7 linked regions of the Ovis aries genome follow. The protein of the gene in region 5 binds, or shares a complex with, the protein of the main gene of each other region. Links are inferred from orthologs where the notes say so. Each region holds a gene or a part of one and is shown on either strand. Other genes may lie near its edges.

Evidence for each region.
Region 1: the proteins of CWC22 (region 5) and CWC27 are in contact, whole or in part, in a crystal structure (PDB 6YVH), measured with the Homo sapiens proteins. The link is inferred for Ovis aries from reciprocal best matches to the Homo sapiens genes CWC22 and CWC27. Residues at the interface, in NP_001362958.1 of Homo sapiens: Leu239, Arg242, Lys243, Tyr245, Arg246, Asn248, Asp249, Lys250, His270, Glu271, Val272, Leu275, Glu276, Thr279, Leu280, Leu281, Glu283, Arg284, Thr286, Asp288, Ser289, Val292, Val307, Ser308, Pro309, Arg310, Gly311, Thr367, Met369, Leu372; in NP_005860.2 of Homo sapiens: Arg381, Glu382, Asp383, Gln384, Thr385, Leu386, Leu388, Leu389, Phe392, Lys393, Lys395, Leu396, Thr397, Ile400, Glu412, Asp415, Asp416, Glu417, Gly418, Trp419, Met420, Ser421, His422, Val423, Leu424, Gln425, Phe426.
Region 2: CWC22 (region 5) and PLRG1 share a complex: the UniProt entries of both Homo sapiens proteins name them as parts of the minor spliceosome. The link is inferred for Ovis aries from reciprocal best matches to the Homo sapiens genes CWC22 and PLRG1.
Region 3: CWC22 (region 5) and BUD13 share a complex: the UniProt entries of both Homo sapiens proteins name them as parts of the minor spliceosome. The link is inferred for Ovis aries from reciprocal best matches to the Homo sapiens genes CWC22 and BUD13.
Region 4: CWC22 (region 5) and DHX16 share a complex: the UniProt entries of both Homo sapiens proteins name them as parts of the minor spliceosome. The link is inferred for Ovis aries from reciprocal best matches to the Homo sapiens genes CWC22 and DHX16.
Region 6: CWC22 (region 5) and CRNKL1 share a complex: the UniProt entries of both Homo sapiens proteins name them as parts of the minor spliceosome. The link is inferred for Ovis aries from reciprocal best matches to the Homo sapiens genes CWC22 and CRNKL1.
Region 7: CWC22 (region 5) and PPIL2 share a complex: the UniProt entries of both Homo sapiens proteins name them as parts of the minor spliceosome. The link is inferred for Ovis aries from reciprocal best matches to the Homo sapiens genes CWC22 and PPIL2.

What each region holds. Positions count from the first base shown.
Region 1 is NC_056069.1:14,808,222-14,811,721, reverse strand, and holds part of CWC27 (spliceosome-associated protein CWC27 homolog), read left to right. Parts: intron 1-3,132; coding exon 3,133-3,276; intron 3,277-3,500. UniProt on the Homo sapiens protein: As part of the spliceosome, plays a role in pre-mRNA splicing. Probable inactive PPIase with no peptidyl-prolyl cis-trans isomerase activity. As a component of the minor spliceosome, involved in the splicing of U12-type introns in pre-mRNAs.
Region 2 is NC_056070.1:3,083,558-3,087,057, forward strand, and holds part of PLRG1 (pleiotropic regulator 1), read left to right. Parts: intron 1-135; coding exon 136-244; intron 245-1,212; coding exon 1,213-1,352; intron 1,353-1,801; coding exon 1,802-2,073; 3' UTR 2,074-2,612; coding exon of another isoform or gene 2,613-2,672; 3' UTR 2,673-3,500. UniProt on the Homo sapiens protein: Involved in pre-mRNA splicing as component of the spliceosome. Component of the PRP19-CDC5L complex that forms an integral part of the spliceosome and is required for activating pre-mRNA splicing.
Region 3 is NC_056068.1:27,154,194-27,157,693, reverse strand, and holds part of BUD13 (BUD13 homolog), read left to right. Parts: intron 1-630; coding exon 631-1,359; intron 1,360-3,000; coding exon 3,001-3,305; intron 3,306-3,500. UniProt on the Homo sapiens protein: Involved in pre-mRNA splicing as component of the activated spliceosome. As a component of the minor spliceosome, involved in the splicing of U12-type introns in pre-mRNAs.
Region 4 is NC_056073.1:27,451,663-27,455,720, reverse strand, and holds the start of DHX16 (pre-mRNA-splicing factor ATP-dependent RNA helicase DHX16), read right to left. Parts: upstream 2,801-4,058; 5' UTR 2,645-2,800; coding exon 2,438-2,644; intron 1,101-2,437; coding exon 850-1,100; intron 767-849; coding exon 604-766; intron 311-603; coding exon 254-310; intron 1-253. UniProt on the Homo sapiens protein: Required for pre-mRNA splicing as a component of the spliceosome. Contributes to pre-mRNA splicing after spliceosome formation and prior to the first transesterification reaction.
Region 5 is NC_056055.1:130,122,429-130,125,877, forward strand, and holds the end of CWC22 (pre-mRNA-splicing factor CWC22 homolog), read left to right. Parts: intron 1-1,489; coding exon 1,490-2,058; 3' UTR 2,059-2,949; downstream 2,950-3,449. UniProt on the Homo sapiens protein: Required for pre-mRNA splicing as component of the spliceosome. As a component of the minor spliceosome, involved in the splicing of U12-type introns in pre-mRNAs. Promotes exon-junction complex (EJC) assembly.
Region 6 is NC_056066.1:39,182,176-39,186,185, reverse strand, and holds the start of CRNKL1 (crooked neck-like protein 1), read left to right. Parts: upstream 1-1,210; 5' UTR 1,211-1,311; coding exon 1,312-1,362; intron 1,363-4,010. UniProt on the Homo sapiens protein: Involved in pre-mRNA splicing process. As a component of the minor spliceosome, involved in the splicing of U12-type introns in pre-mRNAs.
Region 7 is NC_056070.1:72,136,005-72,140,161, reverse strand, and holds the start of PPIL2 (RING-type E3 ubiquitin-protein ligase PPIL2), read left to right. Parts: upstream 1-1,357; 5' UTR 1,358-1,441; coding exon 1,442-1,473; intron 1,474-4,157. UniProt on the Homo sapiens protein: Has a ubiquitin-protein ligase activity acting as an E3 ubiquitin protein ligase or as an ubiquitin-ubiquitin ligase promoting elongation of ubiquitin chains on substrates.

The sequences.
Region 1 (3,500 bases), on a different chromosome or scaffold from region 5:
AGGTGGTAATGAGCATAATGTGAATCAGCGAAAAGACTGTATAACATTTTTCCTGATATCTGATTATCTGATCTTTGTAACTTTGCACATGTAAAACATTTCTAGAACATTGCATATACCATTTGATTTTAAAACATTTTATTTTAACAATACATAGAATTTATATTAATTTACTTGAGCCACTATAACAAAGTACTTCTGACTGGGTGGTTTAAACAGTAGCAATTTATTTCTCACAGTTCTGGAGGCTAAGAAGTCTGAGATCAAGGTACTAGCATTCACCACCTGTGAAGGTTCTCTTGCTGGCTTGCAAATGGCTGCCTTCTTACTGTGTCTTCACATGGTGGAGAGAGAGCGTTTTGGTGTCTTTTCCTCTTCAGTATAGTCACATTGGAGGTTAGAGTGTCAACATGAACTCCAGGAGAACATAGTTCAGTCCAGGGCAGAATTCATTTTAAACTGTACGCAGTAGACCTTTGTAGCACAAACTGCATGCCTTAATAAGAAATCACAAAATGCATGCCATAACACGGGGAAATGAAAGAAACAACATAAAATATGTTAGAAAAAGATGTAAGTTTTAATCAAGAATAGGTCAATGCTTTGTTAACTGCCAACACAGATCTAAAAAGAAAGAGTTAATGTTATATTTACGATATTAAGGATAATGGTGGGTTCAAGTAAAGGCTAAAAGCTGGGTTGTTTATCAATCTTATGGTATCAATATTATGTTCTCTTAGTAAACATCAGTAGCTCTTAAAATATGTGAATTTTTAAAAAATTCACATTTATACTAAAAGGATAGAGTGTCTGGAATTTCCTTTAAGTTTATACTGGGCTACTATATGACTCTTGAGAAAAATATTTGAACTGTTTGCTTTAATTTTCACATGATAATGGCCTTTAGAGCACATGAAATAGTTTTGAAAATCTCAAATGTCACTGTTAGACTATTTTATATTTTACAAAATTGAGATATCTTATAATTTTAGAGCCTCCATCTGTTAGGAAGCATTCCTTTATTATTTGGTTAACAGAATAGCTCTTGTGATGATTCCTTTCTAAATTGAGATTTTTGCTTATTTTATTCAGGTAATACAGATAAGTTGGTAAAGTTTTAAATTAATTTTATTTAATTTGGGCTGTGCTGGGTCTTCGCTGCCGTGTGGGCTTTTCTCTAGTTGCGGTGAGCAGGGGCTCTCTTCCTTTTCAGTGCATGGGTTCAGGAGTTGCAGTGGCCAGGCTCCAGAGTGCAGGCTCAGTAGTTGTGGCCCACCGGCTCAGTTGCTACATGGCATGTGGAATTTCCTGGGACCAGGGATCAAGCCTATGTCTCCTTCATTGGCAAGTGGATTCTTTACCACTGAGCCACCAGGGAAGCTTGCTAAATTTTTCAGTTAGGTCATTTTGAATACAGTGTACAGAGTTATGATCTTTTGAGTTTAGATCTCTTGAGAAGAATTTATTAAAGGAAAAGAACTTTCTTTCTGAAAAGCATTGATTATAAAACATGTCTACATTAAAAGCGAGTCTAGTATCTGCTCTTCTGTTGACTAAGAGACTGGTGTAAATGTTAGGTAGCCCTACCCTAGTAAGAAAACCACCTTAGAATGGCTTGCTCTTGCTTTTTTTTGAAAACTACCAAATGGAACCAGTGCCAGTTCAAAGAAATTTAAACTTAAAACTTTAAAAAGCATAGTAAAGCACCTAACACCATCACACTAGCTTCCTTGAATTAAACAAATAAGAAAACAGTTGTTTCATGACATTCAGAAAAGGATCGAGAAGAGAATAGTTGAAGCTTCTGAAGTGAAGTGCAAGTTGCACAGTCATGTTCGACTCTTTGCAACCCCATGGACTGTACAGTCTATGGAATTCTCCAGGCCAGAATACTGGAGTGGGTGGCCATTCCCTTCTCCAGAGGATCTTCACAACCTAAGGATTGAACCCAGGTCTGCTGCATTACAGGCGGATATTTTACCAGCTAAGCCACAAGGGAAGCCCTAACCATTAATTCAGATTTTAAAATGTGGCTTATTTTTTAAAGTGATAATGAAAGTCACTCAGTCTTCTCTGACTCTTTGTGAACCCATAGACTATACAGTCCATGGAATTCTCCAGGCCAGAATATGGAATGGGTAGCCTTTCCCTTCTCCAGCGGATCTTCCCAACCCAGGAATTGAACTGGGGTCTTCTGCATTGGAGGCAGATTCTTGACCAACTGAGCCGCAAGGGAAGCCCATTGAAGCCTCTATAATGACTCAAAAGTAGTTATCCTGGAGAAAAAAGAAATAGATGGTTCTGAAAGCTTGGAAGGAAAGTTATGACCAACCTAGATAGCATATTCAAAAGCAGAGGCATTACTTTGCCAACAAAGGTCTGTCTAGTCAAGGCTGTGGTTTTTCCAGTAGTCCTGTATGGATGTGAGAGTTGGACTGGTGAGTGCAGAAGAATTGATGCTTTTGAACTGTGGTTTTGGAGAAGACTCTTGAGAGTCCCTTGGACTGCAAGGAGATCAAACCAGTCCATCCTAAAGATCAGTCCTGGGTATCCATTGGAAGGACTGATGTTGAAGCTGAAACTCCAGTACTTTGGCCACCTGATGCGAAGAGCTGACTTATTTGAAAAGACCCTGATGCTGGGAAAGATTGAGGGTAGGAGGAGAAGGGGACGACAGAGGATGAGATGGTTGAATGGCATTGCTGACTCAATGGACATGGGTTTGGGTGAACTCTGGGAGGTGGTGATGGACAGGGAGGCCTGGTATGCTGTGGTTCATGGGGTTGCAAAGAGTTGGACACGACTGAGTGACTGAACTGAACTGAACTGAACTGAAAGCTTAGATGGCTTTGAGGGATGAGAAGAATAGGGAAATGTCTCAGAAATCCATTCCCCTTGAGTAACCTTGCTCAGTGTAAGTAGGCAACTTTCCACAAAAAATTTGTGTTTGAGTGTATTTAGAAGACACAGGTGAGTAAAGTCAAGATTAGTAGATTGAAGGAACTGTAGATATTGGATTTGATTATATGTGAAAATCAGTAGAAGTTGTGTGGGACCTTGTTTGTTAGCTGATATATGAAGGGCCTTATAACTGAGGACATTCACTAAATCTTTGTTTTTTTAATGCTTCAGGATGAATTCCATTCACGGTTGCGTTTTAATCGTAGAGGACTGGTCGCCATGGCAAATGCTGGCCCTCATGATAATGGCAGCCAGTTTTTCTTTACCCTGGGTCGAGCTGATGAACTTAACAATAAGCACACCATCTTTGGAAAGGTTTGTATCCAGTTATCTTAGGTTTCTATGATGTATGTGATCAACTTACCTAAGAGCTGCCTTCATAAAAATATTCCCAATGATATTTATTTATTATTTCTAAAAATGGTGAAATGCTCTGTGTTCCTGTTATAGTGAGCTGTGAGGGACTACCTGAATTTTTGTCTGTGTGTTTCAGTCCAGTCATTGACTTTTAACTTAAAATTTTTATTTTTTCTAAAATT
Region 2 (3,500 bases), on a different chromosome or scaffold from region 5:
AGAAAGCAGTTAGTCAAAGGTTGATAGGACTTTTGTTTTATATATATGTGTCTGTAGAAGAATGCTTCAGGTTTTATTATATTTACCTTTTGCATTCTTTTTTTCTGGTCTGTATTTTGGGGATTCTCCTTACAGGAAGCCATGATACTACAATACGATTATGGGATTTGGTGGCTGGAAAAACAAGAGTCACATTAACAAATCACAAAAAATCAGTCAGAGCTGTGGTTTTACATCCAAGACAGTAAGTCTGTTTTCCTAAGTAGCTTCTCTTCTTCCTTCAATTCTTAGTATAATTTAGAAATAGCAAAATTAGTACTACTTTGGTAGTCATTTAGTCATTTTTCCGACCTGTTCCATTTATGAGCTTGCATTTCCTTTATTTTCCTTGTGAAGTATTTTTCTTGTCCTCCATAAGATGAGGAAAACTTTCTACATAGTGAAAAATTATGTCAAATGAGATAATATAAATAAATCATGGTGACAGGCTGCATGTTGTAATGGAAGCTAATAGTTGCTAGATTTAAAGTTTTGGACAAAAATATTATTGGACACTGGACTGAACATAGAATAGTTAATTTCATCATGAAGAAATTAATATACATAGGAAAAAAATAGTAGGTATCATGAACATCATTCACAGAGAGATGTAGCATAACATCACAACCTGCTGTCTATAAAACCGTGTCCCCTGGTACTCCCAAGGTCTCCTGCCTATCCTCCCTCCTCACCCTCCCTGCATTTATCTTGTCTCCTCCTTCCGATCCCTGTCTCGCTCACTCCCTTTCTTCCTCTCCCTGACTCCCTTTTCTCTTCCTCTTGCCTCTTTCTCTCCTTCTCTCACGTCTTCTCTCTCCCTTCTTCTGGCTTTCTCGTTTTCTCCAAAACACTTAAATCACCCCTTGCCCTTCATGTGAGTTTAGGGGGTTATATGTTTATTGCTTTAGCTCAGTGTAGAGCACTGGGGAAATGAGAGGAGAATATAACTTCAATCTAGGACTTATCATACATTTAAAGTAATTTAGAAATCTGATATAACTTGGAACAGATCTTTTTATCTTGATATTTTTATCTTGGTATGACGATAATATTTTGCCAAAACTACATAAATCCTGATGATACATGCAAAATATAGCCATAATAAGATTTTTTAAAAATCCACCATTGTATTTAACTTTGTTTGCTTTATTATTAATTCTTTTCTTATTTCAGTTACACATTTGCATCTGGTTCTCCAGATAACATAAAACAGTGGAAATTCCCAGATGGAAGTTTCATTCAAAATCTTTCTGGTCACAATGCTATTATTAACACATTGACAGTAAATTCTGATGGAGTGCTTGTATCTGGAGGTAAAGTATTTTTATGATAAATATGTTTTAGTCTATCTTTTTTTTTAAGTGAGTAAAATTTCTAAGTCATTACACTGACGTATTAGAATAGAACTTGCCTGTTTAACATGTGTATTCATGCAAATTCATAATACATATAGCATATTTCATAGGTCAATTCTCTTTAAGTTCCCGCATTGATAAATCTAAGTTAAGGATTTATGCCAGAAATCACCTAAAGTTTGGTTGTGTGTTTTGAAGTTAAATGTCATTTTGTGGTGCTTTTTGAGATCTATAATAAATTATGAATTAAGCACAAATGAAAGTAGACAAATTGATATTAAGAGGAGCTCAAGTGCCTGTGTGTCTTTATAACTCCATGGTGCTTGGCTGATGATGGGTTCTTAATAAGTGTTTGTCAGGCTGAACTGTTGAGGGGACACTTGGTCTAACCTGTCTTTCCCTTTAAGCTGACAATGGCACTATGCATCTCTGGGACTGGAGAACTGGCTACAATTTCCAGAGGGTTCATGCAGCAGTGCAGCCTGGGTCTTTGGACAGTGAGTCAGGAATATTTGCTTGTGCTTTTGATCAGTCTGAAAGTCGATTACTAACTGCTGAAGCTGATAAAACCATAAAAGTGTACAAAGAGGATGATACAGCGGTAAGTTCTGTATTTCATAGATATTTTAAAGTAGAAAAAATCAGCTTTGCCAATTTTCCAGGCATTTTCTCATTTTAAAACTATTGAAATTATCAGGAGGGGAAATAATCTTCATAATACTAAAATATTTGTCATGTTGAATAGTGTCTGCTCGTAGATTGTTGCATTGGTTTTATTGATGACAGCAAATCCGTAGATAATTTTGATTGTATCTCAACTTTGCTTATTAGAGTTATTAAGAAAATCTTATCCTAAGAATAACAGCAAAAAAATAGATTGCTATGCAAATTAACTCTAGAATCAGAATCTTAGGTATTACTAGAATATCTAAAAACCATTAGATTTAAAATGAAACACCATAAACTGAATTTGTAGCAAATGCATTCATCCTTTATTAAATATTAAATATTATTTATCTTAATATTTATTATATAATAAATAATCAGATAGTGCCAGAAGTTCGTCACCTATCTTAAAATTGTTAAAGAACTGCTAAATGTGTAATGCCAAGTAATATAATTTAGAATAAGTGCCTTATTTTTGTTAGAAAGGAACTTATTAAATATGAAGGAGATCAGTAATACTTTGTTTTAACTTACTTACTTTTCTGTTTTTAGACAGAAGAAACTCATCCAGTCAGCTGGAAGCCAGAAATTATTAAGAGAAAGAGATTTTGATGTGTTCGTTGTCATTGCAGTTTTTGTTTTTTTGTTTCGTTTTAGCTTGGCCTTGATGAGAATATCCAGTCATTTGTGCTCTGGCTAGGAATATAAAGCAAAAACTCATGCTTGAATCATTGCATTTTCATATTTTACAATGAACTGTCCTTCCCCATGTTTTTATTTCTAAAATTAACAGTTTGAGATCCTAGGAAGTAAGATGTAGATATCAAGCATATGTGAGTTTTTTGACTGTAACTATCCTAAACAGAATGATTTGCCACTTCTATTAAAACACACCCCATTTTTTTTAACTTACAAAACTGCTTACTATAGTAGGACATGTTTTGAGGGGAGTAATCTTTCTCTTAAACCCTTAAATACTGGTATCTGTGATTGATATTTTGGGATTAAAGGATTTTGAAGTCTTATGTATGTTTATCTCACCAACAGTTTTTGAGCGCATGTTCTGCAAAGTTCTGCACTAGGTACTGTTCAGAAAGTATACAGATAAGATGTGTCTGTCCTTTAAGACTTCCACTTTTAGCAGCTTACTACAGAAATACTGTCATAGAAGTGCCAGTGAAAAACCAGGATAACACAGAGGAAGAGCCCATTTATTTTCCTTGGGAAGGATTGTGGAAGACTTCATGGAGTCAGTGGTGTTTGAGGTGAGTCTTGAGAGGTCACAGAAAGAAAGGGTATTCTAAGGCAAAGTGTGAGCTGAAAAACCAGACATATGAGAGGTGTATGTTCCAGGAACAGAGAGCTGTCTGCTGCACTTGAATGAGAACAGCTGGTGGCGGCAGGGAAAGCTTGTGTTTTGAGTTTCAGTTTTATTCCACA
Region 3 (3,500 bases), on a different chromosome or scaffold from region 5:
ATAGACATGGGCATGCAGCAGGTGATCAGTAAAGTGCTGATCCTTCTTTCTTTCTGGTGCTCTTGCTGCTTTTGATAAGGAGCACAATGGCATGGATTAAATAGCTCACAGGATTTCATTTTGATGTGGCATGGAATTATTCAGTTTGCCTTTTGAGAGAAGAGTGGGTGCAAACTGAATTGCCTAAGTTAGATATCAGTGGGAGCTTCTCATGGAGAATTCCATACAAGTAAGGTTTGGGGAAGAGCACTGGATTGGGATTAGAAGTTCAGGGTTCTAGCCTGTCTCTTCGTTTTAGTAGCAGTGACCCCTAGGTAGGAGACCACTCAGCTTCTTAGGGTCTCTGTTTTCATGTCTGTAAAACAAGGGTACCTGCCCTGCTTGCCTAACAAGATACAACATGAAAAATACATTTAAAGTGCCTTGCAGATTATGACCTGTTAGGCAAACGTGAGTGGTTTTTCTTAGGATATTCATGAGTGCTACTTTATTGCCCTGAAGTAGCTGTGCGTATCTTTTGGGCTTTCTTAGTAGTTTTGAGATGTATCCTGCTGGGGTGTTTTTTGAAACTTTGGTTGTAGGGGTGGCAGAGCATTTGTGGGAATCTGATTCTTTGCTATTTGTGTTTAGGCCAGAGTGAAGATATACCCTCACACAGACAGTTCTGTCATGACATCCCGGACTCATCTCCTCCTAGGAAGGTTCGTCATGACACCCCAGATCCATCTCCTCCTAGAAGAGTTCGTCATGACACCCCAGATCCATCTCCTCCTAGAAGAGTTCGTCATGACACCCCGGATCCATCTCCTCCTAGGAAGGTTCGTCATGACACCCCGGATCCATCTCCTCCTAGGAAGGCCCGTCATGACACCCCGGATTCATCTCCTCCTAGGAAGGTTCGTCATGACACTCCGGATTCTTCCCCTCCTAGGAAGGTTCGTCATGATACCCCAGATCCATCTCCTCCTAGAAGGACCCGTCATGACATCCCAGATTCATCTTCTCCTAGGAGGACCTACCACAGTTTCTCAGATCTCTCTCCTGCCAGAAGGGCCCGTAATTGCTCCCCTGACACAGCTCAACCTAGAAGGACTCTTGACTCTGTGGATAGATCACAGCTCAGGAGGGCCCATCATAATTCCACTGACTTGGCTGCTAATGTTCCTCACTCACTGCTCAGAACCAAAAGCAGTGAAGCCCCAGAAAGCTCTAGCAAAACTTCTCCACATTGGAAGGGGCCAGGACCTTCTCATCCATCACTCCCAAAGAATAGCAAATATGAGTATGACTCAGACCTCTCTCCTTCACGAAAAAAGCAGGCAACATCCCATGTTGGAAGTAAGCAACATGATTCTAAAGGTGAGCATTTGTCCATGAGAGGGACTTGTTCCTAGAGTGCTTTCTTTTGGAACTTTTAGTTGCTTTACTAGGTATTTGTGGTCTTTAGAAATGAGAATGGAGCTTTGGAGTTTTAAAAACTGGAGGGAAATAGTGAGAGATTGGGCTGAAGAGAGTTAAAAATTAATAGTAGTAGGGTAGAAGTTTATATATATATTTTTTTGTTCATTTTCCCCACCCCATGAAAATACTACATGTTTGTTGCAGAAACTTTGGAATGTATAGAAATGTAGAAAAGGATCACACACAATTCTGTCCAGTCAGAGGCAGTCTCTCTCTTGTAGCCAGTGTTCTTTTAGTCTTCTTTTCTAATCATTTTTGATGTAGTTTGGACGTGTCTAGGCAGTAAGTAAATATTGCATGTGTAATCTTGCTTGCTTTTTTCACTTAGCATTATCTTTCCTGAGTCATAAAATATCTCTTTGTTAATATAGTTTTTGTTGGTGTTCCAGTAACCATTCCCCTAATATTGCATATTTTAGGTTATTTCTAAACCTTTTCCTCTGTAATTCTGTAATGAACATCCTTATACACAAACTGTTGCTCTGTTCTGGATTTCCGTATCTATTTCTAGATAGACTTTCTGGGAATTGAAGTGCTGCTAGATACGTTTCCTAGGGTACAAAGTAGAAATTGATTTGCTGGCTCAGCCGGGTTCTTTGCTTATAGGACTGTTGATAGGTATTGCAGATTGCCTTTGGAGGAGGTGATTTGTGATGCCTATGTCTACAGCTCACCTGTGTGATGAAACTTGTTTGCTCCATCGTTTGTCCCTAGGTACTGCTTTAGTTTTTAATTCAAATACATTGTTATGTTTTAGTCAGAAGACCTCAGAATATATTCTGTGTGTGTGTGTTAGTCACTCACTTGTGTTTGACTCTTTCTGACCGTAGCCCACCAGGCTCTTCTGTCCATGAATTCTCCAGTAGAATACTGGAGTGAGTTGTCACTTCCTCCTCCAGGGGATCTTCGTGACCCAGGGATCAAAGCTGGGTCTCCTGCATTCGGGCAGATTCTTTACCATCTGCGCCACCAGGGAAACCCAGAATATATTCTAATATATTCTAGGTCATCTTAACTTGCTAGGGCTTCCTGGGTGGCTCAGATAGTAAAAGAATCTGCCTGCAATGTGGAATACTTGGGTTCAATCCCTGGATCAGGACGATCCCTTGGAAAAGGGAATGGCAACCCACTCCAGTATTCTTGCCTGGAAGATTCCATGGAAGAGGAGCCTGGAGGACCACAGTCCATGGGGTTTCAAAGAGTCGGATACGACTGAGCGACTAACAACGCCACTGAGCCCTGAGTTCAGTTTGTTTTGGCCACTCTATGTGTGGGTAAATAGGGCACAGATGAGGATGTTGAGATGTCTTGTGCTAGTCACAGTAACTAGTGCTAGTAACTAGTAACTTGGGAATAGAACCCCACCCATTGGTTTTAAAAGTTATCTCTGACTTTGCTCTTCCCCCTTGTCATTTATACTTACGTTTAGGTTAGTGATAGTTCCTCACAAGAGGACTAAATGAATGTTGAACATTAGCCTGGTACATTATTTTTTAGATTCTGCCAAGGGGATTAAAATCTTTACTCTTCAATTTCTAGGCTCTTCCCCCACCCATAAGAAACATCATACAAGCTCTCCACCCAGGAAACATCAGAGTCACACATTGGACTCTTCTTCCTACCCAGGGGACAGTAGGAAAACCTCTGATTCAGATCTTTCTCCTCCACGGCACAAACAGAGTTCAGGGCCCCAGGATTCCGATTCCGATCTGTCACCTCCGCGGAATAGACCTAGGCATCGGAGCTCTGATTCTGACCTCTCTCCACCAAGGAGAAGGCAGAGGGCCAAATCTTCTGATTCTGATCTGTCTCCACCTCGAAGGAGCCAGCCTCTGGGAAAGAAGGTAAGAACTTTCAGGAGCCATGTCTTGGTTTAGAGGAACTCATCTCCTAGCTCTGTACAGGTCTCAGAGATCCAGGCCAGAGAAATCTAGCTCACAGGACCTCTAGAGCGCTTTTCTTCTCTCTGAAGGCAAGACTGTCTGACTCAGTCCAGGGGAACTTGCAAGGAGCAGATTTCCTAAATAGCATCTGCCTTT
Region 4 (4,058 bases), on a different chromosome or scaffold from region 5:
CCTTTTGAGTACACCTCTTTAAGTCCCAGGAACAGGGAAATACTTCCCTCACTAACATACAGTCTGATCTGATCCTAAGGAGTCAGAGGGTTTCTGGGCCACTTCCTTCCCACTACAGTTTAAGTCTATCCTTAGCTGGCGCCTCAACCAGAGACCCAACAGCCCCACCACACCTCCTCTGCATCTTTCCTCCCTACCCTAACCACTCCATCAGGAAGCCTTTCCCTTTGTCTTCCTGGGCACACGGACTCACCATGGCTTTCCGGTCTTCCTCAGCCATCTTGAGGCGCTTCTGAGCCTCTTCGTAAGCCTAGGAGAAGGCAAGAGTGGTCAAAGTCCCCGTGCCCACAGCCATTCCTGTCTAGAATCACAAGGATCACTCAGATGTTCCCTAGCACAAAGAAATGTACCCCCTTCACTGAGGAATCTCTGTGGTTACAGGTTCAGCAGAGAGCCACCTTAGCCCAAAGACCCAAAGAGATGACCAGACTACTGGAGGCGGCTCCTTGTCTTCCCAGAGATCACTATCTGCGGTCACACCCAACCTCAGATCGGATCCAGGGGTCTGCCTGGGGACTGATGGGAAGTGCTGCTCCAATGCACCTTCTTGTCTGACCGCTCCAGGACGTTGCGAGTCCGATCCTTGTCCCGCTGCCGAACCCGCTCAGCGAATGCATCGCGTTCCTCCAGGTCCTGAAGGCGCTCTCGCTCTGTCCGCTCCCACTCATCCTCCGACTCCGGCTTTTCCGTCTGCTCTTTCTTCTCCCTGCAGCCCACCCCGGAGGATTAACTGAGGGCACTCAGAGGCTTCCTGTTCCATCACCCTCTCGCCCCCTACTTCTGACTTACCCTGTCTTCCTCTTTCCTTTCTCAGAAACTTGTTCCTCCTCCTCGTCTTCCTCTTCCTCCTCACGTTTCTTCCTGAGGTGTTTCCGTTTTTTCCGCTTCTTCTGGACACTGCTCCCAGCCCTGCCCACAGTCTCCTCGCTGCTCTCCTCACTGTCCTCCAACAACATATAAGAGCGGTTCTTTTCCAGCAGGGCTCGGGCCTCTCGCTCGGCTGCCCGAGCTGGCTTTTCCACCACTGCCTTCCGTGGGACCTGTCGGGAGAGAGAGAAGTCAAGGGGATGTAAGCAACTCCTGATCTCTGCCCACCTACTCTGCCCAGTTCCTAATTTAAGGAGTAACTGATCTTAAACCAGCTGTCATTCTGTCTCTTCCCCAAGGCTTCACACCATGTCCATCAGCCCGAATGGGGTCTCTCAGTTCCTAAGCCTATCCCATGCACCCCCTGCTAGGTACTAGAGATATAGGGGTAAAGAGATAAAACTTTCTGCCCTCATGGACTTTACATTCTCACACTCAATTCTCAACTGCTCAGCCTCTGTTCTTCCCGATGACTAAGTCATTCCTACCCAAGGACTGGACAAGGATTGTCCAGATTGTTTTGCAGAGCCCTGTCACGGGCCAGCACTGTAGTGGCCTCCAGAGATACCCTGGTGAACGGATTAACACAGAGCTCCTACCCTCACATCAAGTACGTTCTCATCTTTCACCAAGTGCAAATGGGACAGCCACACCAAGTTATCTGCCATGAACAAGTTCAACACTTTTAGTCTTACTGTATAATTTCTGAGCTCTTGTTCTGCAGGTTACAATTAGATGGTATGAATACAAAGACAAAAATCACAGTCTTGCCTTCCAGGAGCTCACCATTACACCTTTACTCTTCCCCTTTCTTTACCCAACAAACTCCAGATAATCTTTGGGCCTGCTTTTCTCGATCACAGCCACACCACTTCTACCCTCCCACAACACTGCCCACACATCTCTTCTATAGACTCACTCTTCGAAGGGTGGGCAACACCCAGCATCACCCGAAAACTTACAAGATTTGTTAGAAATGAAGAAATGAAGAAACCATCCCAGACCTACCGAATCGGAATCCTCATTTTAACAAAAGCCGTGGATGAATCCTAAACCTGTTTGAGAAACACTGCTCTGTAGACCCTTAGTTCAGTTCAGTTCAGTTCAGTCGCTCAGTCGTGTCCGTCTCTTTGCGACCCCATGAATCGCAGCACGCCAGGCCTCCCTGTCCATCACCAACTCCCGGAGTTCACTCAGACTCACGTCCATTGAGTCCGTGATGCCATCCAGCCATCTCATCCTCTGTCGTCCCCTTCTTCTCCTGCCCCCACCCAAACCCTCCCAGCATCAGTCTTTTCCAATGAGTCAACCCTTAAGCCCTCCTCAACCTTCTCCACGGAAGTGGTCGTCCAGCCCGAAAGTGATAACTGCTTGCAAACTGAGCTTAATTCTCCGTTGGACAGTTAGCCCAAGTGAGCCCAAACTCCGTTGGACAAGTAACCTGGGGGCCCCTCCCCTGCTCCACCCACTTTCCCGCCGCTCCCACGCCCGGTCCCGCCTCTCCCAGCACCTTGTTCCAGAGTCTCAGGGCGAAGTCCCGGGCCGGCCCACTGAGGTCCAGGGTATCGGTGTCTCGCAAGCGCTGCACGAACTCCTCTGCCGAGGCACAGCGCTGCGCGGTACCGATCAAGAACTGGGCCACGTGCCGCTCGCTCAGTCCCAGCACCGAGTGCAGCTCGTCTTGCACCCAGCGCTCCAGCCCCGCCGGTGTCGCCATGGCGACAACACGCTCCCTATTCCCGGCCCTGAAAGTGTCTCCAGCTGCCACGTCGGCGGCCGGGCGGGTCGGGGGCCTAGAGCTCCAGGATGGAGCCTCTGCTCCGGAATGGAGCTGCCTGAGAACCGAGGGGTTCGGTTTCCGATAGTCCAAAACAATCTTCCTGGACCGCTGAGGCCGGAAGTGGCTGCTCTTTTCCGGCCTATGCACTACGGTGGCCGAGCGAGTTCAAATCTCGCGTAATTGTACGCGAAGCTCGGAATAAAACATTTTCATTTCTTCCCCTACTGAATTTCTGTTGCCCTCTGTTGATCATTCGTGAGTATTACACCCATTCATTTCATTCAACTATATTAAGAACCTAAAGTGCCTGGTGGCTCAGGTGGGTAATGGCACCCCACTCCAGTACTCTTGCCTGGGAAATCCCATGGATGGAGGAGCCTGGTAGGCTGCAGTCCATGGGGTCGCGAAGAGTCGGACACGACTGAGCGACTTCACTTTCACTTTTCGCTTTCATGCATTGGAGAAGGAAATGGCAACCCACTCCAGTGTTCTTGCCTGGAGAATCCCAGGGATGGGGGAGCCTGGTGGGCTGCCCTCTATGGGGTCACACAGTCAGACACGACTGAAGCGACTTAGCAGCAGCAGCAGCAAAATGCCCGGTGGCTCAGGTAGGAAAGAATCTGCCTACAATGCAGGAGACCTAGGTTCTATCCCTGGGTGGGGAAGACCCTCTTGGAGGAGTAAATGGTAGCTCACTCCAGTGTTCTTGCCTGGCGAATTCTATGGGCAGAGGAACCTGGCCTACTACAGTCCATGGGGTCACAAAGAGTCGGACATAACTGAGCGACCAACACTTTCAGTGTGGGCCAGGCACAGTTTTAGTACCCAGGGATATAGCAAGGAACAAATCAGAAACAAATCGCTTACTGAATTTACAGTGGCAGAGGGTTGGGGGTGGGGACCAGCCTGACAGAGACAAGATAAAAATATAAAATACTAAGTTATATGGAGCCAAAAATAATGCAAGGTGTGTGTGGGCGCTTGTGGGGTGGGGCATTCAAATTAGAAGATCAGGTCCATGCTTGTTACAGATCAACTAATTAGGAGTGACCTTTGCTAGGACCTTCTGCAAGACATGAATACAGGTTAGGCTTATCAAGGACTCCAGGCAGATGAAAACTCAAGATGTGGAGAACAAGCAAAGGTACCCTCTTTTCTTGGTGCTATCTCATAATGTTATTTTAAAAGATCTGCAAACTAAGAAATATGCAAATTGTATTCTGCTTTTTTTTTCTTTTGCTAACAGCTTGAGAAAGTCACTGGTGTCTGCTTAATTTTAAATAAGCAGAACTTGTTGCTTGACTGCTGTCTGGCCTCTGGTTCTGCTTCATACTTGTACAATTAATTGGAT
Region 5 (3,449 bases):
TCAGAGAGGCAGCACTTCTCTTCACAGCCTTTTTAGTAGGTTGGTGAGGCTAGTCTTTACACACTTGTTTCTCTTCAGAGTGTTTTACATACTATGTGGCATCCAGAATTAGGGGACTCAGTGATTTATATTGTTAGAGCAAGACTCCATTTACTCACAGGAAGTTTTATTCTTAAGTTGAAATATACTAACATTGTTCATTTACCATTCACCTCTAAAGAATTTATTTCATGGTATCTGTTTTGAGAACAGATGATAACACAGCATGAACTGCTGCAGTAAGGAAGCTTGCTGATTCAAAATTAATTTGCCTCATCATACAATTTCAGTAGAGAGCTTTCAGTTTTATTAATAACATATTAAATAGCATAAAAGCAGTATGAACTTATACCAAATTAGAAAATTGTAAAGCAAACACCAAAGAGAGAGGAAAGTGCATATTATTGTCAGGCTCAGGTTTTGGTGTCAGGAAGCACCAAGTGTGGGATACAGAAGGGTCAGAGAGGCGTTGATTCTGCACAGAGCCAGATGGTTTCTGCTTGGGTGGCTGTAGTTCAGCTGGACTGCTTGATAGGAACCAGAGAAACGGGTCCTTTGTGGCACCCAGGACCCGTGGGTTTGCCATGGGTAGGGATTTGGCAGGAGAAATAGATGCTGGTACATTTGAGTGGAGGCAGGACGAAGATAGGCCGCTTTCCGACTTTGACGGAAATTGTGGTCATCTCAGTGCTTTTGGTTATGTGCCCGAAGCAGATAACACAAAGTGGCTAAGTGTGTTTTATAGCTTAAAATGGGTAAGATAGTTCATTCTAAGTGATATTTATATTTGTGGACAAACTGATAAAAGAAAAGTTTCGAGGCCTTAGAAGAGTTTTCTTAGCAATCAAGCCTTTGCAGCTCTCATAAAGCCTATGATTAGATTTCAACATAGTTTCTCTTTGCATAGTTACTACTTCTCTGGTAGCAGGACTCTTATTTTTGTAGACAGAGGTTTGTATTTGAAAAATATGTATTCCTGTTTTTACACAAACCCAGTCATCCCATTCAACCCACCTTTTAGGAAGTAATGTTGCTGGCATGTAGGATCATTATATTTTAATTATGTATCATCTCTGGCATTCTGTTTCATATGACATAATAGATATGGGCTGAAATTTATGTTTTGGATAAAATTTGTAAGTGGAAATGTACCACTTTAATCACTTTGTTAAAACTTTTACATTTGCTATATACCTTATTTTAAACATTTATTTATTTTAAGGATCAAAGCAGTTACTTCAGTAACTAATATATTGTATATTCTTAAAAATTACATTTTTTGTATACTGTTCTGTCACCAGATTTTGCATTCAGTCAATTTGACTCTTTATCCAGTTTTTCTGAATTAGTAAACAAACCTATAATGTATAAATAAATAAGATTTTTTTTCAGTTGTGAAATTAAGATTAAAATATAAGCTGACTAACTATATTTCATTTTACACATGCAGCTAAAAATGTAAGAAAGAAGGGGCATGGGAACCACAGAAGTAAAGAAGTAGATAAATTGATCAGGAAACAAGAAATGAATGATAGAAAACAAGAAGAAAGAAGGCCAGAGCATCGGCACCAGGAGACAAGGACTGAGAGAGAAAGGAGGTCAGAGAAACCCAGAGAGAGAGATTCAAGAGGCTCTGGAACAAAATACACTTCAGACAGAGGGATTCCTCCTGAGAGAAACAGCCACAGCAGAGCCGTGCGTGACAGAGACCAAGAAGCACGCATGGGTTTGGAACATACTCATGGAGATCCCAGAAAGAAACGGGAGAGGGGAAATTCTTTCTCTGAAAGTGAGCACAGACATCGAAATAGGGACAGTGAGAATTTTAGAAGGAAGGACAGATCCAAGTCAAGAGAAAAAAATAAAAAACATTCAGGTTCGAGAAGCGATGAAGATAGGTATCAGAACGGTGCTGAGAGGCAATGGGAAAAATCTAGCCGATACTCTGAACAATCCGGAGAATCGAAGAAAAATCAGGACCGGCGAAGAGAAAAGTCTCCAACAAAGCAAAAAAAATAATTCTGCAAAATCATAGAAACTGAACATGCCTTATATTCAGTTGAAACAAATTATTTTTTACATCGATTGACAAACTTTGTAGAGAATTATTGTATAAAGTACTGGTTTGTATTTGTACATTAAAAATGTTTTCTTTTTAATATGTTTTATAACTGATACATCTCAAGGCCTTCTACAAAAAATTATTTGAGAAGTTTCACCAGAGAGGGTTATAATTCTTGCCTATATTTTATTAATAAAACAATCAAAATGTTCATTGAATTGATGATTTTTTTATCAACAGTTTTTTTCTGATAATGTTTCTGATTGTTTATAGGATTATTATAATGAATTGTTAGTGACTTTTTATTTGTAACTGAAGACCAAAATAGATGAACCTTTTTAAGGTTTTTGCTTTGTTAATGAGATATTATAAACTTTTCTTAGGAGTCTTGCTTTTTTTTAAGTAGAGGAATTATTTTAAGTTTTATTTTATGTTTTTAACAAAATATGTATGTATAATTTTTTTTCAGAAGTGTTTCAGTGAAGCTAGGTGTATGTTAGTCTTTAAACAAATACACAGCTATCTTATTTAATAATTAGGACTTCTCTCATTGACAACATTTCTTTCTGGACTGTTAGGTTAACTGTTAATTGAAATTCTTTGTGATTAGTGCTTTTTCTCAGCCTTGAAGTTCTATCACTTGGTAAGTTACTATGTATTTAAGTTTTAATGTAGATTAATAGGTTATTGAAAAACATGCAATCATGAGAAATATATGCAAGACCAACTGTGAAATAATTTTAGGTTTTTTTAATAAGAATTTTAAGGGTTGCTATCCTTGTAACTCTCACCAGTTACTATGTGACCATATTATTTATTACTTTTGAAATAAAATATTGCCTCTGAAATTTTAGATTTGCTGACATTAAACCGCATTTACTAAATGAGCCATTTGTACTTGCTCACCTTAAGAGCATATAAAATCCATTTTAGGCAGTGTCCAGATTCAAGAATAATCTTAAACCATTTTTAAAAACCATTTTAAAGTTTGGCTTTTGGGCACACTCTGATTTATGTAAGAACTTGAGTATAGGGCTTCGCTGGTGGCTCAGGGGTAAAGAATCCGCCTGCCAATGCAGAAGATACGGGTTTGGTCTCTGGTCCAGGAAGATCTCACGTGCCACGGAGCAGTTAAGCCCGAGTTCTAGAGCCCACAGCTACTGAGCCTGTGATGTGGAGCCAAAGAGCGGCAACGACAGCCCACGCGCCGCAGCTGCTGAAGCCTGCGCGCCCGGAGCCTGGTCGGCACAGTGCTCGGAGCCACGCAGTCGGCGGCCCATGCACCACGGCTGGAGAAGAGCCTGTGCGGCAGCCGAGACCCGCACAGCCAAAATAGATAAGGTTACAT
Region 6 (4,010 bases), on a different chromosome or scaffold from region 5:
TCACTGCAGGATGATAACTGCAGCCATGAAATTAAAAGATTCTTGCTCCTTGAAAGGAAAGCTATGACAAACCTAGACAATATATTAAAAAGCAGAGATATCACTTTGCCACAAATGTCTGTATGGTCAGAGCTATGGTTTTCTCCATAGTCATGCACAGATTTGAGAGCTGGACCATAAGGAAGGCTGATCACCATAGAATTTATACTTTCTAGTTGTGGTGCTGGACAAGCCTCTTGAGAGTCACTTGAACTGCATGGAGATCAAACCAGTCAGTCCTAAAGGAAATCAACCCTGAGTGTTCATTGGAAGGAATGAAGCTGAAGCTCCAATACTTTGGCCACTATATTCAGAGAGCCAAGTCAGTGGAAAAGACCTGATGCTGGGAAAGACTGAAGGCAAAAGGAAAAGGAGGTGGTAGAGGGTGAGATGGTTAGATGCAATCACTGACTCAACGGACATAAATTTCAGCAAATTACAGGAGATAGTGGAGGATAGAGAAGCCTGGTGTGCTACAGTCCATGAGGTCGCAAAGAGTGGGACCTGAATTCGCGACTCAATAACAACAAAAGTTAAGCGAACTGGCGCTACGAAAATTGACATTAAGACACAATGACAGAAAATTTTAAATATCTGTTTATCTGATATTATTTAAGATTGATATATTACATTGCTTATCTGACATTATAAGGCTGGGTTATTTGCTAGTACTCCGATGATTTATTTTCACTTTTTTCTGTTATCTGGCTTTAAAATTCCTTCAGTCACTTTCATTTATAAGCCATAGAATTATTTGGTCACAACTGTCCGGAAACCAAGGGGCAGTTGACCATTCGGGCCTACAAAGCCCAGAATGCACCCCAGCTCAGGGCGGCCGAGGAGGTCAGCAGCTTGCCGCTAGGTATGCCAGGAGGTAGTTTTCTACCCCACCCCCGCCCTCGAGCGTCCGCACGGTAGCCGGGTTCCTGTCCCCTTGCGGGATACCGCGATTTCACGGATCCACCCGTCCTCGCACGGTCATCCTAATCCCAGAGGCGATCTGAGGATGTGCCCCTGACGGCCCGGATGCAGCCAGCACTCCTCACCTCACCTGCAACTCCCGAGTCCCAGGCTCCGAAGAGGACGCGCAGCCCGGTTACCACAGAAACGACGTTGACTCCGTCACGGCGCGGGAAAGAGGTCAAAGGTCGCCCCAGCCAGTTCCGCTTCCGGTTCCGGGATCCCGCTTGTTGTCGGAAAGTTGCGCGGTGTGGGCGAGCCCTCGGGGAAGGTTCTGTGGTCCCGGGCTCGCCCGCGGTCGCCGCTGCAGCCATGGCGGCTTCCACCGCTGCCGGGAAGCAAAGGATCCCCAAAGTGGCCAAGGTGAGCGGCTCGGGGCCTTGTGGGAGGAGGCCGGGGATGGGGTTGGCCCGGCCTTGGTGGTGCCTGGGGCGGGAGGCGTGTGGTCCCTGGGGCGGGAGGCGTGTGGTCCCGGGAGCTGGTCCTCCCTACCTGAGCGGGGGCCGCGGGCGGGGAGGGCCAGCCGGGGATGGGGGTCACCTCCGCGTCCGCGTGGTCGTCGTGTTAAAAAGTGTTTATCTGGGGGAGGAGAGAGGTTCTTCAGCACAGACACGCTGAAACAGACACTCGCTAGTCGCTGGGGCTCCGGGTAGAGCGGGCTACGAGCTACCCTGCGTAAGGGTAGAACTGCAGCCTTGCAAAGGCTCCTGAGCCCCAGAGGAATAGGCCGTGGCTTCCTGGGCTCGTGTGAGGGGTCTCCAGCGCAAGAAGTGATGATTAAGCTGTGCTGAAGGCTGTAATAGGAGTCAACCCCGGGTGAGAGTGGAAGGAGTGAAAAGAGATGACAAGGGCTGTATTTTGGTTGATCTCACTTTTTCCGTCGGCGGTTAATACTAAAGTTCAGTTCAGTTCAGTTCAGTCACTCAGTTGTGTCCGACTCTTTGCGACCCCATGAATCGCAGCACGCCAGGCCTCCCTGTCCATCACCAACTCCCGGAGTTCACTCAGACTCACGTCCATCGAGTCCGTGATGCCATCCAGACATCTCATCCTCTGTCGTCCCCTTCTCCTCCTGCCCCCAATCCCTCCCAGCATCAGAGTCTTTTCCAATAAGTCAACTCTTCGCATGAGGTGGCCAAAGTACTGCAGTTTCAGCTTGAGCATCATTCCTTCCAAAGAAATCCCAGGGCTGATCTCCTTCAGAATGGACTGGCTGGATCTTCTTGCAGTCCAAGGGACTCTCAGGAATCTTCTCCAACACCACAGTTCAAAAGCATCAATTCTTCACAGTCCAACTCTCACATCCATACATGACCACAGGAAAAACCATAGCCTTGACTAATGGACCTTAGTCGGCAAAGAATGTCTCTGCTTTTGAATATGCTATCTAGATTGGTCATAACTTTTCTTCCAAGGAGTAAGCGTCTTTTAATTTCATGGCTGCAGTCACCATCTGCAGTGATTTTGGAGCCCCCCAAAATAAAGTCTGACACTGTTTCCACTGTTTCCCATCTATTTCCCATGAAGTGATGGGACCAGATGCCATGAACTTCGTTTTCTGAATGTTGAGCTTTAGGCCAACTTTTTCCTTTCCACTTTCACTTTCATCAAGAGGCTTTTTAGTTCCTCTTCACTTTCTGCCATAAGGTTGGTGTCATCTGCATATCTGAGGTTATTGATATTTCTCCCAGCAATCTTGATTCCAGCTTGTGTTTCTTCCAGCCCAGCATTTCTCATGATGTACTCTGCATATACGTTAAATAAGCAGGGTAACAATATACAGCCTTGACGTACTCCTTTTCCTATTTGGAACCAGTCTGTTGTTCCATGTCCAGTTCTAACTGCTGCTTCCTGACCTGCATACAGATTTCTCAAGAGGCAGGTCAGGTGGTCTGTATTCCCATCTCTTTCAGGATTTTCCACAGTTTATTGTGATCCACACAGTCAAAGGCTTTGGCATAGTCAATAAAGCAGAAATAGATGTTTTTCTGGAACTCTCTTGCTTTTTTGATGATCCAGCGGATGTTGGCAATTTGATCTCTGGTTCCTCTGCCTTTTCTAAAAACAGCTTGAACATCAGAAAGTTCACAGTTCATGTATTGCTGAAGCCTGGCTTGGAGAATTTTGAGCATTACTTTGCTAGCGTGTGAGATGAGTGCAATTGTGCGGTAGTTTGAGCAGTCTTTGGCATTGTCTTTCTTTGGGACTGGAATGAAAACTGACCTTTTCCAGTCCTGTGGCCACTGCTGAGTTTTCCAAATTTGCTGGCATATTGAGTGCAGCACTTTCACAGCATCATTTTTCAGGATTTGAAACAGCTCAACTGGAATTCCATCACCTCCACTAGCTTTGTGCGTAGCGATGCTTTCTAAGGCCCACTTTGACTTCACATTCCAGAATTTCTGGCTCTAGGTGAGTGATCACATCATCGTGATTATCTGGGTCATGAAGATCTTTTTTGTACAGTTCTTCTGTGTATTGTTGCCACCTCTTCTTAATATCTTCTGCTTCTGTTAGGTCCATACCATTTCTGTCCTTTATCGAGCCCATCTTTGCATGAAATGTTCCCTTGGTATCTCTAATTTTCTTGAAGAGATCTCTAGTCTTTCCCATTCTGTTCTTTTCCTCTATTTCTTTGCATTGATCGCTGAAGAAGGCTTTCTTATCTCTTCTTGCTATTCTCTGGAACTCTGCATTCAGATGCTTATATCTTTCCTTTTCTCCTTTGCTTTTCGCCTCTCTTTCTTTTCACAGCTATTTGTAAGGCCTCCCCAGACAGCCATTTTGTTTTTTTGCATTTCTTTTCCATGGGGATGGTCTTGATCCCTGTCTCCTGTCACGAACTTCATTCCATAGTTCATCAGGCACTCTATGTATCAGATCTAGTCCTTTAAATCTATTTCTCACTTCCACTGTATAATCATAAGAGATTTGATTTAGGTCATACCTGAATGGTCTAGCGGTTTTCCCTACTTTCTTCAATTTGAGTCCAAATTTGGCAATAAGGAGTT
Region 7 (4,157 bases), on a different chromosome or scaffold from region 5:
TCGACCTGCATGTGAGATGTGAGTCCTCACAAAGTGTCCGATGATGCTGGCCGGTAGAGCAGATGTTGCTTGAGCTCTTGGGTATGCCCTGCACCTTGCTTGGGGCTTCCCAGGTGGCAAAGAACCTGCCTGTCCATGCAGGAGACGCAAGGGACACCGGTTTCATCCCTGGATTGGGAAGATGCCCTGGAGGAGGGCATGGCAACCCACTCCAGTATTCTTGCCTGGAGAGCCCACAGACAGGAGCCTGGCGGGCTGCAGTCCAGAAGGGTGGAAGAGAGTCAGTCGCAACTGAAGGGACAGCACGCAGCTCGCAGGCACTTTGCTTGTGACTGGAGATAGCAGACGAGCAGTTGGGGTCCTGGCTCTTGGGGAAGCCATGTCTCCCTGAAGAGAGAGAGAGGGTGTGTGTGTGTGCGTGCGTGCGTGCGTGCATGTGTGGCTAGACAGTACACAGATGGATTAGTACAGGATTACAAGTGGTAACAAGCCCTTGTAGCTGTATGGGGTGACTGGCTGGATAGTGGTACTCTGAGGAGAGTGGACCCTAGAGGGGGAGGAGGAGAATTCTGCTTTAGCAGACATACTGAATTCGAGTTCACTGGGTTGCCCGAGTAGAGGGCAGGAGTCTTGAGTGCTGGCCATTTAGCGTTGGGAGTCAAGCGATACAGGCGTTTAAAGCCGCGAGCCCGGGCAAGGTCACCCAGTGCTTGAGTGTAGGGGGAGGTCTGAGGCTTGGCCTGGGGCACCCCAACGTGGTGGTCCGGCCGAGGGAAGAGGCCGAAGGGATCACGAAGGCTTTGGACCTTTGGGCTTGATGGCCACCTGCCCCTGGGTAGCCCAGGAGAGGGGGCTGCAGGCAGTGCGGTCCCGGTGAGCGGTGAGAGGGCGGATAGCGAATGTGGGTGTCCATCTGGAGGTGCCGGCCTGGGGCAGAGATGGGGCCAAGGCCGGGGGAACTTCCGGGCTCCAAGCGGAAGACCTGAGAAGCCAGGGCAGACCAGGGCGGGTTTGGGATGGGATGGCGTTGAGCTGCGACCAGGCAGGCAGGCTAGGTAGGCGGTGCACAGAAAGCTGCAGAGACGGGGAGGCTTCGACGCCGAAACTGCTCAGCCCCCGGGCGCGGGGAGCCCCCGGGCGCGGGGAGCCCCCGGGCGCGGGGAGCCCCCGGGCGCGGGGAGCCCCCGGGCGCGGGGAGCCCCCGGGCGCGGGGAGCCCCCGGGCGCGGGGAGCCCCCGGGCGCGGGGAGCCTCCGCGCCCGGCGGGCGTGCACTCGGGGTGGGGGCGGGGGCAGCCAGGGACCACAGTTCCCGGCGTGCTCAGCGCTTGCTTCCGGGGCGGTTCGGCGAGACCCGGAAGTAGTTACGGAGTTCGTCCGAGACGCCGCGGTCGGAGGTGTGCTTTTCCCCCGTCTTCTGCGCTCGCTGACCCTGCCGTCGCCATGGGGAAGCGACAGCACCAGAAGGACAAGATGTGAGTTGAGCCGCCACCGCCGGGAGCGGGCCTGTCCGCCCCGCGCCCCGCCCCCGAGCTCCCGAGACGCCGCTTCCCCGGAAGCCTCCGCCGCTCCGCGCGGGTTTCCGGGGCCCCGCGCTCTCCGGCCCGCCGACGCCGCCTCGCCGGAAGCCTCCGCGGGCTCCCCCTCCGGCGCGGGTCTCGGGGGTCCAGTCCCCTCGGCTCCTCAGGCTCGCCAGCTTTTCCCTGGGGGCGTCTCCTCGGGCGCGGTGGTCGTCCCTCGTCCCCCAGTCCGCTCCCGAGCTCCAGCATCTTCCAGTTAAACCCACTTGGGCCCCCGAGCTACCGTCGAATTTCTTTGATTTTCTTAACCGCCAGACGATATTCAGGACCGCTTTCCTTTAGGATGGACTGGTTGGATCTCCTTTCTGTCCGGGGGACTCTCAAGAGTCCTTTCCAAGAGTCTTTTCCGATGGTTTGGTTTTTACATGTGTGGATGTAAAAGTTCGAGTATAAAGAAGGCTGAGCGCCGAAGAATCAATGCTTCTGAACTGTGGTGCTGGAGAAGACTCTTGAGAGTGCCCTGGACTGCAAGGAGATCAGCCCTGGGTGTTCATTGGAAGGACTGATGCTGAAGCTCCAATACTTTGGCCACCTGATGCGAAGGGCTGACTCATTGGAAAAGACCCTGAAAGATTGAAGGCGGGAGGAGAAGGGGACGGCAGAGGATGAGATGGCTGGAGGGCATGGGACCTCCCTCAGTGGACAGTTCAGTTCAGTCGCTCAGTCGTGTCCAACTCTTTGCGACCCCATGAATCGCAGCACGCCAGGCCTCCCTGTCCATCACCATCTCCCGGAGTTCACTCAGACTCACGTCCACCAAGTCAGTGATGCCATCCAGCCATCTCATCCTCGGTCGTCCCCTTCTCCTCCTGCCCTCAATCCCTCCCAGCATCAGAGTCTTTTCCAATGAGTCAACTCTTCACATGAGGTGGCCAAAGTACTGGAGCTTCAGCTTTAGCATCATTCCTTCCAAAGAAATCCCAGGACTGATCTCCTTCAGGATGGACTGGTTGGAAATCCTTGCAGTCCAAGGGACCCTCAAGAGTCTTCTCCAACACCACAGTTCAAAAGCATCAATTCTTCGGCGCTAAGCCTTCTTCACAGTCCAACTCTCACATCCATACATGACCACAGGAAAAACCATAGCCTTGACTAGATGGACCTTAGTCAGCAAAGTAATGTCTCTGCTTTTGAATATACTATCTAGGTTGGTCATAACTTTTCTTCCAAGGAGTAAGCGTCTTTTAATTTCATGCCTGCAGTCACCATCTGCAGTAATTTTGGAGCCCCCAAAAATAAAGTCTGACACTGTTTCCACTGTTTCCCCATCTATTTCCCATGAATTGATGGGACCAGATGCCATGATCTTCGTTTTCTGAATGTTGAGCTTTAAGCCAACTTTTTCACTTTCCTCTTTGACTTTCATCAAGAGGCTTTTTAGTTCCTCTTCACTTTCTGCCATAAGGGTGGTGTCATCTGCATATCTGAGGTTATTGATATCTCTCCCGGCAATGTTGATTCCAGCTTGTGTTTCTTCCAGCCCAGCGTTTCTCATGATGTACTCTGCATGTAAGTTAAATAAGCAGGGTGACAATATACCACCTTGATGTACTCCTTTTCCTATGTGGAACCAGTCTGTTGTTCCATGTCCAGTTCTAACTGTTGCTTCTTGACCTGCATACAGATTTCTCAAGAGGCAGGTCAGGTGGTCTGGTATTCCCATGTCTTTCAGAATTTTCCACAGTTTATTGTGATCCACACAGTCAAAGGCTTTGGCATAGTCAATAAAGCAGAAATGTTTTTCTGGAACTCTGTTGCTTTTTCCATGATCCAGTGGATGTTGGCAATTTAATCTCTGGTTCCTCTGCCTTTTCTAAAACCAGCTTGAACATCAGGGAATTCACGGTTCATGTATTGCTGAAGCCTGGCTTGGAGAATTTTGAGCATTACTTTACTAGCATGTGAGATGAGTGCAATTGTGCGGTAGTTTAAGCATTCTTTGTCATTGCCTTTCTTTGGAATTGGAATAAAAACTGACCACTGCTGAGTTTTCCCAATTTGCTGGTATATTGAGTGCAGCACTTTCACAGCATCATCTTTCAGGATTTGAAACAGCTCCACTGGACTTCCATCACCTCCACTAGCTTTGTTCGTAATGATGCTTTCTAAGGCCCACTTGACTTCACATTCCAGGGTGTCTGGGAGTCGGTGATAGACAGGGAGGCCTGGCATGCTGCGATCCATGGGGTCACAGGGTCAGAGGCGGCTGAGCTGAGCTGTCTGAATGGCGAGATGAGGACGATCCCCTGTGGTTTTCTGCCTTCCCCTTGACCCCGCTTCAGTCAGCGTCTGCCCGCGTTGCTCCTGTCGGGATCCCTCAACTCCGGGGGCGGCTCCATCCGGGGGTCAGCTCTCTGTCCTCGCTTCCTGGGGCGTGCCGGACCACCGCTCTCCCTCTGAAGCCCTTCCTCGGTGTCTGGGACACCACTCTCTGTTTTCGGGTTTCTTCAGAGACGGTGCTCTCTGGGTTCCCTCTCCTGGGTCCTCTCCTCCCCAGACCTCCTAGGTCTCCTCCCGCCGCTTCCTCTATTTCACACTCTCCTCGGGTGATGGCCCCAGCCTGGCTTACAACACCACCC